2 linked regions of the Ovis aries genome follow. The protein of the gene in region 2 purifies or fractionates together with the protein of the main gene of each other region. This does not show direct contact. Links are inferred from orthologs where the notes say so. Each region holds a gene or a part of one and is shown on either strand. Other genes may lie near its edges. The genes, in order: DNMBP and DNM2.

Region 1 (3,807 bases), on a different chromosome or scaffold from region 2:
TTCCCCAGCCTGCCCCTACCCTGAGGAACTCCCGAAACTGCAGGCATCCAGAAATGGTTGGTTCCTCCATGTCAGGGCGTAACGGGCAGGGTCGAGACCTCCTAAAAGCAGGCGCAAGAACAGCACTGTCTCTGGATGACAGACATGAACAGCCAGAGAGTAGCGAGGCGGAAGGCAACCAGGTGAGTGCGCTCGGTTTCCATGGTTACTGCGCTGCGTGTGGATGCAGGTGATGAGCGCTCAGGAGTGGGCGAGGCCTGACCCGGCTGGGGGTGACCCTGGAGATGGGCCCACAGATAAATCCTTAAAGGATTTCCAGAAGCTCACTGCTGTGAGAGTGGGCAGCCCCAGTCTTCTGGACCTCCGGTGGCTGATTTCGCAGGCTGTAGTGTTGTGGGGCGTTTACCAAGTGTCACCATGAAGCTTTTCACACTCTTCCAATGCACTTCCAATGATTCTTCCATTGGTATAAAGTCTGCTGTTTAACTCATCTACTTAGCTTCTCATTCAAGTAACTAAATTTCTAGAATTCAGGAATAGAGTTCTGATTCTGTTTCAGTTTTTCCCGTTCTTTTTGTAATGGCCCCTTCTTTGTATCATAAACATTTTAAACCTACATATTTTAAAGCCACTTTCACATCCACAGCTGAGGAATCCCTGGCCACCTGCCCTTGCTCACTTGCAGCAGTGAGTCTCCAAGTGTGTCTTACCTTTGTTGGCGAGCTCTCTGTGGTTCTGACAAGCCCAGGACACACGCCCCAGCTCTGGCCCACCAGCGGGCTGGTGGACATGGACCAGGAAATGACCCTTTCTGAGATTCTGACTTTGTGCAAGGGTCTCCGTTCTGGCCTCATCAGCTCCAGCCCTTGAGCACCCTTGGGTGTGTGTTCACTGTGTCCCTGCGGGCCTCATGGTTCCTCCTCCTGATCACTGACCACCACCCTCACTTTGCATGCTAGCCCTGTTATGGGCACCTAGTGAGCACCCTTTCTTCCTTTGGGATTAGATGTGGGTTTTTTGTTGTTTTGTAAAGATTTTTAAATACAGAATTTCTGTGTATGAAAGAGCATCCTCATGTCTCATCTATCTTCCTTACTGGCTGAAGCTTTTTTTCCCCTTTTAAGGCAACTCTGAAAGAGTAAGTGAATTTTGGTTTTCTTTAAAGCTGTCCTATTCATTATGGTAGCCTTCAGCCATATTTAATTTACATTTAAGTTAGGTAAAGTTAAAATTTTAAATTAAGTCCTTTCACCTCACTGGCTGTTATTTCAAGTGCTCAGCTGCCGTGTGTCTAGGGGCTGCCAAATTGGATGGTCCAGATACAGACGGTACCCATCACCCTGGGAAGTTCTGTTGGGTAGCTTTGCTTTCAGATGTTTCCCATTTCCTAACTCACTTTCTCTCCCTCTCATAGGTCTATTTTGCTGTCTATACCTTCAAGGCACGGAACCCAAATGAGCTGAGTGTGTCAGCCAATCAGAGACTCAAGATCCTAGAGTTTAAAGATGTTACAGGAAATACAGAATGGTGGTTAGCTGAAGTCAATGGGAAAAAGGGTTACGTTCCATCCAATTATATCCGCAAAGCTGAGTACACCTGAGCCTGTTCTGCTTCCCACTCAATCTTGCTGCCTTCACTTCCTTCTGCTGAAGGGTTCTGGTATCCACCAAGAGGGCTCCTGCTCCTGAGACACTAGCCCTGCCACATTGCTTAATTGTGGCACAGTGGTGCATAAGTCTTGTTCTCTTTGATTGGGTTGTCAGCCTTGATGCTCACTAGAATCTCTAGAATTTGAAATGGACCTTGGTGCTTGCAAGTGATTCAGTGACCGTGAAAAGAGAAGCAAGTCCTGGGGTCAGCCTTTGGAAATGAGAAATTTCCAATCAGAAGACCAGTATCCAGTATATGCTAGAAGCTGTGCTATAGCATTAGAAGAAGTTGATGTTGGTTGTGCCATATTGAGTGGGGTGGCCCCATGCTCCGTGATCAACTGACTGGAAACCAACTTGGATGAATTCTCTGGGAGCCCTTTCAGGCTGTGCCTCTGCATGTGGCAAGAAGTTTGTCAACATTGTACCAAATCTGATGTTTCAAAACCTCAGTGTCTGGCACATATTTGCACACACACCCCTTATTTCTAAACATCCCTAAAACACTGCCATCTGTAATCTTTTTCTTATTTATTTCACCACATTTCCAGATTGGGCAAAATTCAACTATTGAGTCAGCTAAAAATGTTCATTTGGGTTTTTTTGTAAGATCCAATGGAAAATCCCAGACGAACTTTCTGGCCAACCTAGTACTTCTTTCTCCTCTTAAAAAATGTTTAGAATCTTCCTTTCCCCTGAACTTTGACATGAAAGGTTCATTTCCCATTAGGTGCTATCCTCCACACCTTGCTGACACCATCTCTATACTGTCTGTGTACAGTAATTTTTCCTGGCTTCTTTCCTGAAGCTGAATAGCTGATAGACTTTCTTGAGAGAACGGGATCGGAGCTCCCACTGTTCCCTTTGGGGGATTCATTCTGCAGTGGGCTGAAGCCAGTCCAGCCCAGAGGGAGGCTGGATGCCTCTCCCCTTCCTCCACACTACTGTCCACAGATGAAGAGACCATAATGCACGTTTATCTCATTTGAATCTGGGTAAACAGTCCAGAAGTAGCTTATCCTAGAGTTGGAAATAAGCGTTCTCTGTTTCATCAGCCCCCGTGCTTCAGAGACCGTGGTCTAAGCCAAACAGAATCTAAAGTGCCTGATTGTACCTCCTCCACCTCAGGAAGATGTTTCCTGATCCTAACACTAAGATTCCCCCCTGAAGTTTGTATGTGAGCAGGGCTCTTATTCTTAAGGTCTGCCCCAGATTGAAAGCCTGCCTTGGAACAGGAAATCATGAATTTTGTCTTGCAAGAAAGGGCATAAAGAACAGCTTACAGCCCTTGCTCCTCCAAATGCACCTTCACCTTAAAGTCATGAGTCAGGAGACACCCGGGGGCTCCTTGGCCACCCCGGGGTCTGCTGGTCAATCAGAAGGCAGCAACGCAAAAGTATCTCGTGAATAGTGTTTATACCTAGAGATGTTTATATTTAAGTAGTTATTTTATAAATAAAAGCATTTCAAGGGCCATAAGTATGTTTTCTTGATTTTCTTCCTGGTTTAGCCTGAACCTTCTTATGTTTCTGGGGGTACCTTCTTGACGATTCAGTGATGCTCAGATTTTAAGAAATGGGAGAGGCTTAAGTGAAGAAACTCAGGTCAGGAATTCCTTTTCAAATATGATTTCAGCAGAAACACTCTATACTCAAAATACGTCCATGCTGCATTTTAAGCCATTTCGTGCAGTAAATCCTAGCAGAACAGAAGAGCTGGGAATTCTTGAGAGGTAAGTATTTCGCAGCCATTATAGATGCGGAAACTGATGCACTAGTGCTGAGCTAACATAGAGTCAGACCGCAGCTCAAGCCAGGTTGGGTGTTGGGAGGGAGAAGTAGCAGGAGCGCTGGCCAAGGGGGTGCCCATGAAGCAGTTGCCTGAGGCTGTTAAGGAATAGAGAACGTGGGTGAAAGGTAGACTCTGGAGAGAAAGCTTACAGGCCAGCGAGGCTCACTTATTTTACGAAGAAGGAAGATGGGGTCCAGTGACATTGTGACCTGCCCAAATCTTAACATCACGTTTTTGATGGAGCCTGAATCTAAACTTGGGTCAGGCTGAGCCTTTCCACCCTGTTCGGAGCCAGACTGACTTCAGACACTCAAGTGCATTGTGACCTTGGCAACTTACCCAACCTAGGCTTCAGCTTCCTTATCTA
Region 2 (4,246 bases):
GAGCCTTACCCACGCTCCATCAGTAAAAAGAAGCTGGCTTCGTTTGAGAACCCCCTATCCAAAGAGAGGCCTTTTCACAGCTTTGGTTCTCAAGCCCTGAGTCAATGCCCATAATGACGGATGCCACGCTGCAGGCTCAGGAGGAGGTTGCCACAGGAGCCAGCTTGGTAGCAGCTGGCAGTCACCAGGTTCCAGGGTGGCTGGGAGGGAACAGTGAGGGACAGAGGGATCGATGAGAGGTGGGGATGGGAGAGAGACCCTGGGTTTCCCCAACCCAGAGACCTTGATCCTTCACTGAACAACCTCTTGTAAGAATGCTCAGCTCTTTGGGCCTCAGTTTTGTGCTCTAGAAAATGGGATCATAGCGGTGCCAGCCTCATGAGGCTTCAGTAAAGTCCAATGTGTAACTTCAGAGCACTTTAATTCTGACTAGCTTTGGTTATTGATATGAAAGGAACCGGGGCTTCCCTGGTGGCTCAGCCAGTAAAGAACCCACCTGCAAAGCAGGAGACCTAGGGTTGATCCCTGGGTAGGGAAGATCCCCTGGAGAAAGAAATAGCAACCCACTCCAGTATCCTGGCCTGGGAAATCCCACTGACAGAGAAGCCTGAGGGCTACAGTCCAGACTCACAAAGAGCTGACACGACTGAGCAACTAAGCATACACACACCCACAACGGAACCAGCCTAGTGAGCAACAGCACCCTCCAAGGAGACCCACTAGGTGCCAGGCACTATGCTAAGTAAGCACTTTTAACACACCGTGTCACTACATCCTTGCAAGTCCTGTTAAGGGTCCATTAGCCCTTTTTCTGGTGGGAAAACTGAGGCTCAGAGAGGTCAAACAACCTGTGCAAGGTCACGAGGCAGATGAAATGGACAGAGCTTTGCAGACACCCACCGGAAGCCTGGGTAGGCAGGAGGATGGCCAAGCAGGGGACCCAGCCTGGGCTGATCCCAAGTCCACACCTTTCCGCCACAGTAGAAAGAGGGCATTTCGCCAGGGACACAGCAGCAAAGGAGGAAATTCATGCCGCTGGGAGCAAAACCCTAGGCCACTGTGAAGGCGGGGCGGGGCTGAGCACCCAGCTGGGCTCCACTGAGCGCCAGCCTGGTGGCCTTGGGCAAACAGCAAGTCTTTTCTGAGCTGAACCAAGAGAGAAGTCAGCTTGGGGGCTGCTGGATGAACCTCTTTAACACTGATAACAACAACAATATGAACATGATGATGACTATGACGTTATCAGGGCTTCCCTGCTGGCTGAGCGGTAAAGAATCTGCCAGCAATGCAGGAGACACATGTTCAATCCCTGGGTCGGGATGATCCCCTGGAGGAGGAAATGCTAACCCATTCCAGTATTCTTGCTTGGGAAATACCATGGACCAGAAGGCCTGGTGGGCTACAGTCCATGGGGTCACAAAGAGTCAGACACAGGACTTCACGAGTAAACTACCAACCGCCATGACGTTATCATCTGGCAGCCGCAGTCGCAAATGGAGTCCTTCCCAGAATGCAGAAGTGGCCCCCCATCTGGGAGGCAGAAGGAAAAGAGGTGGGGGGAGGAGAGGGGAGAGGTAACCACCCTCAGTGGCCACAGGGCCCATTCTCCTCCATTGGCTTTGTGAATCCTGGAAACAGCCCAGAGTGGAATTTGTCCACTGGACAGATGGGCAAACTGAAACTTCTCGGGGCTTCCCAGGGAAGGCTATATCCAAGCTTTTGCCACTGCAGCCTGATCGGGCCAGAAGTTCCTCTCAGGATCCAAGGAGGATCCCCACCATGCAGGCTTTGGCTTGGGGGCTGGTCCCCATGTTCCAGGGCCCTGCAGGCAACCTGACATGGGCCAGGAAAGACTCCTGGAAAATGTCTGCCCCCCAGGGTCCTACTTCCAATTCAAAGGAGAGGAGTTCAAGTCTCACCCTTCAGCCCCCTTCTCTTCTGCAAGCTCCTCTCATCCCCTGCCCAGAAGTGGGGTCAGGGAGACGAGAAGGACTGACACCATGACACAGAGACAAAAGGATCCACTTGGAAGCGAGGAGCCAGCGTTCGCCAGGCACCAAGTTGAAGAGGCAGCCCAGGAGAGCCAGACAACAGGGTCTCCCAGGGTCCAGCCAGCCAGTCAGACAGCACAGGCCAGCTGGGTAACCCAACAGAGGAAGAGCTAAGTCTGTGAGGGGCACGGATGGGCAACCAGACAGGACAGGGCCTTCTGGCTAGCTAGCCAGGCAGCAGGGAGCTGCCCTGCGGTCCTGGACAGATGGACAGCCAAATGGTGGTGGCGGGGAAGCCTATCCAGGACAGAGAGACAGCAAGCCAGACGACAGGAACTGCTCCAAATCAATGAGCAGCCGGCCAGACCACGGGGATCGGCCCAGTAAATATCCAGGAGACAGGTTCAGGACAGACAGACAACCAGATGGTAGAATTCACCCACTAGAGCTGGGGGCCAGAGAGTCAGAGGTCTTGCACTGCACTTCCTGGCCCACGCCCCCCAGCGCGTGGGACACCCCTTAGGTCTGGGCCGGCTCCCCAGCCCCTACAGGGAGCCCTCCACTCAGGGCGTCCCACAGGGCCCGCCCCCCTGTCCCCGTCCCGGTCGCGGGCACGCAAGCGCCGCAGTTACGCCGGCGGCGCAGGGCGCGCCATTCCCAGTCCGCCCTCCGCGCCGTAGGCCGCCGCCCGCCCGCCGTCGCCACCGAGCTCGCTCACCGGCCCACGAAGTTCTCGAGCACAGAGCTCTTGCCGGCGCTCTGGCCGCCCACCACGGCGATCTGCGGCAGGTCCAGGTGGCAGCTCTGGCCGATGGAACTGAAGGCATCCTGCAGCTTGTTGACCAGCGGGATCAGCTCTTCCATCCCGCGGTTGCCCATGGCGCCGGTGGCCCCGGCCCGAGCGACCCGCGCTCCTCGCCCGCCCCTGTCCCTCAACGACGCGGCCCCGCGGCGTCCGCGGCCGTTGCTCCCCGCCCGCCCGGGCCTCGGCGCGACGCCCGCTCCCGGCTCGGCCTCACGGTCGCCGCCTCATCCGGTTCTCAAGCGACACCCGACCCGACCGACCTCCCGCCGGAGCCCTGGGGCTGCGCCAAAAATCCTCGCACTAACTCCGATTGGCCGGCTGGGCTGTCACTTCTGCACACAAACCAATGAAAGTGAGGCACGGGCCGATTGCCGAATGAGCCCGCCCCCTGGGGCCTATTCTCTGATTCATTGGGCGCAAGAACTGTCGCTATTGTGCAAGAGCCAATAGCAGCGGCAAGCGAGTTGTCTCGGCCGGGAGGCGGTGTTTCGGGAAAAGGCATGTTGGCCCCGCCTACTAGGGGGTGTTCCCGGATAGAAGGAACATCCGCCAGTCTTATTGGCAAGCAGACCCACCAATCAACAAGGCTGGCCAATGATACTAGGGATCGGTTCTTCGCTTGACTCTATTTAGTTCCCTAAAATTTTCCCATTGGTTTATATAAATATCACTCCCTTCTATCACCCAACAAGTCAAAGAGGGTGGGATTTAACTTCTAAATCTTGACTCTGATTGAAAGCTGTATCTGTCCATCAAAAAACCTCCCCCGCCCCGTTCTAGTTTGTGAATGTTGTATGTCAAGTAGGGTCTTCTGGAGCAGAGGATAGGTTCACAGTACGCGGCAACGCGCGCCGCCTAGTGGTAGGACTCAGTGCTGATAGTCACTTGTGTTTCTGGGCTCTAAAGAAAACTACAAGTCTCAAAATGCATCTTAGCCGCGAGCTTGCAAATCAGCTCCCTGCGCGGGGTCCCAACATATTTTGAAGGTCCAAATATACTTTGATATGCAGATGACACCACCCTTATGGCAGAAAGTGAAGAGGAAAGAAAAAGCCTCTTGATGAAAGTGAAAGTGGAGAGTGAAAAAGTTGGCTTAAAGCTCAACATTCAGAAAACTAAGCCAGAGAGAAGTAGCTCAGTAAGGAGTTAGGAGCAAAGGAGGTGGGGAAGTAGTCTGACTGGGCCAGGCAGTAACAGGGGAATGGAGAAACAAGGGGTGAAAGAATGGCAGAGTGGAATTGCCTTCTTCATGACCCAGAACTGCAGGTCTCAGAGACAAGCAACAAGACTGACAGTGTTTGGCACTGCAGCCTTGACTACGGTGGCAGAAACTTGAAATACCCTAACTGCTCATCCATGGAGCTCATTAAGTAAATACTGTTTATAATCCATAAACAAAATTGAGTAAATTTTCATGTACTAAAGTGTAAACAATTTGAGATACAGTATA

The links.
Region 1: the proteins of DNM2 (region 2) and DNMBP purify together in Homo sapiens (co-immunoprecipitation; 3 studies listed by BioGRID and IntAct, with this or other methods). This does not show direct contact. The link is inferred for Ovis aries from reciprocal best matches to the Homo sapiens genes DNM2 and DNMBP.

What each region holds. Positions count from the first base shown.
Region 1 is NC_056075.1:20,617,662-20,621,468, reverse strand, and holds the end of DNMBP (dynamin-binding protein), read left to right. Parts: coding exon 1-182; intron 183-1,414; coding exon 1,415-1,600; 3' UTR 1,601-3,128; downstream 3,129-3,807. UniProt on the Homo sapiens protein: Plays a critical role as a guanine nucleotide exchange factor (GEF) for CDC42 in several intracellular processes associated with the actin and microtubule cytoskeleton.
Region 2 is NC_056058.1:13,045,652-13,049,897, reverse strand, and holds the start of DNM2 (dynamin-2), read right to left. Parts: upstream 3,034-4,246; 5' UTR 2,871-3,033; coding exon 2,710-2,870; intron 1-2,709. UniProt on the Homo sapiens protein: Catalyzes the hydrolysis of GTP and utilizes this energy to mediate vesicle scission at plasma membrane during endocytosis and filament remodeling at many actin structures during organization of the actin cytoskeleton.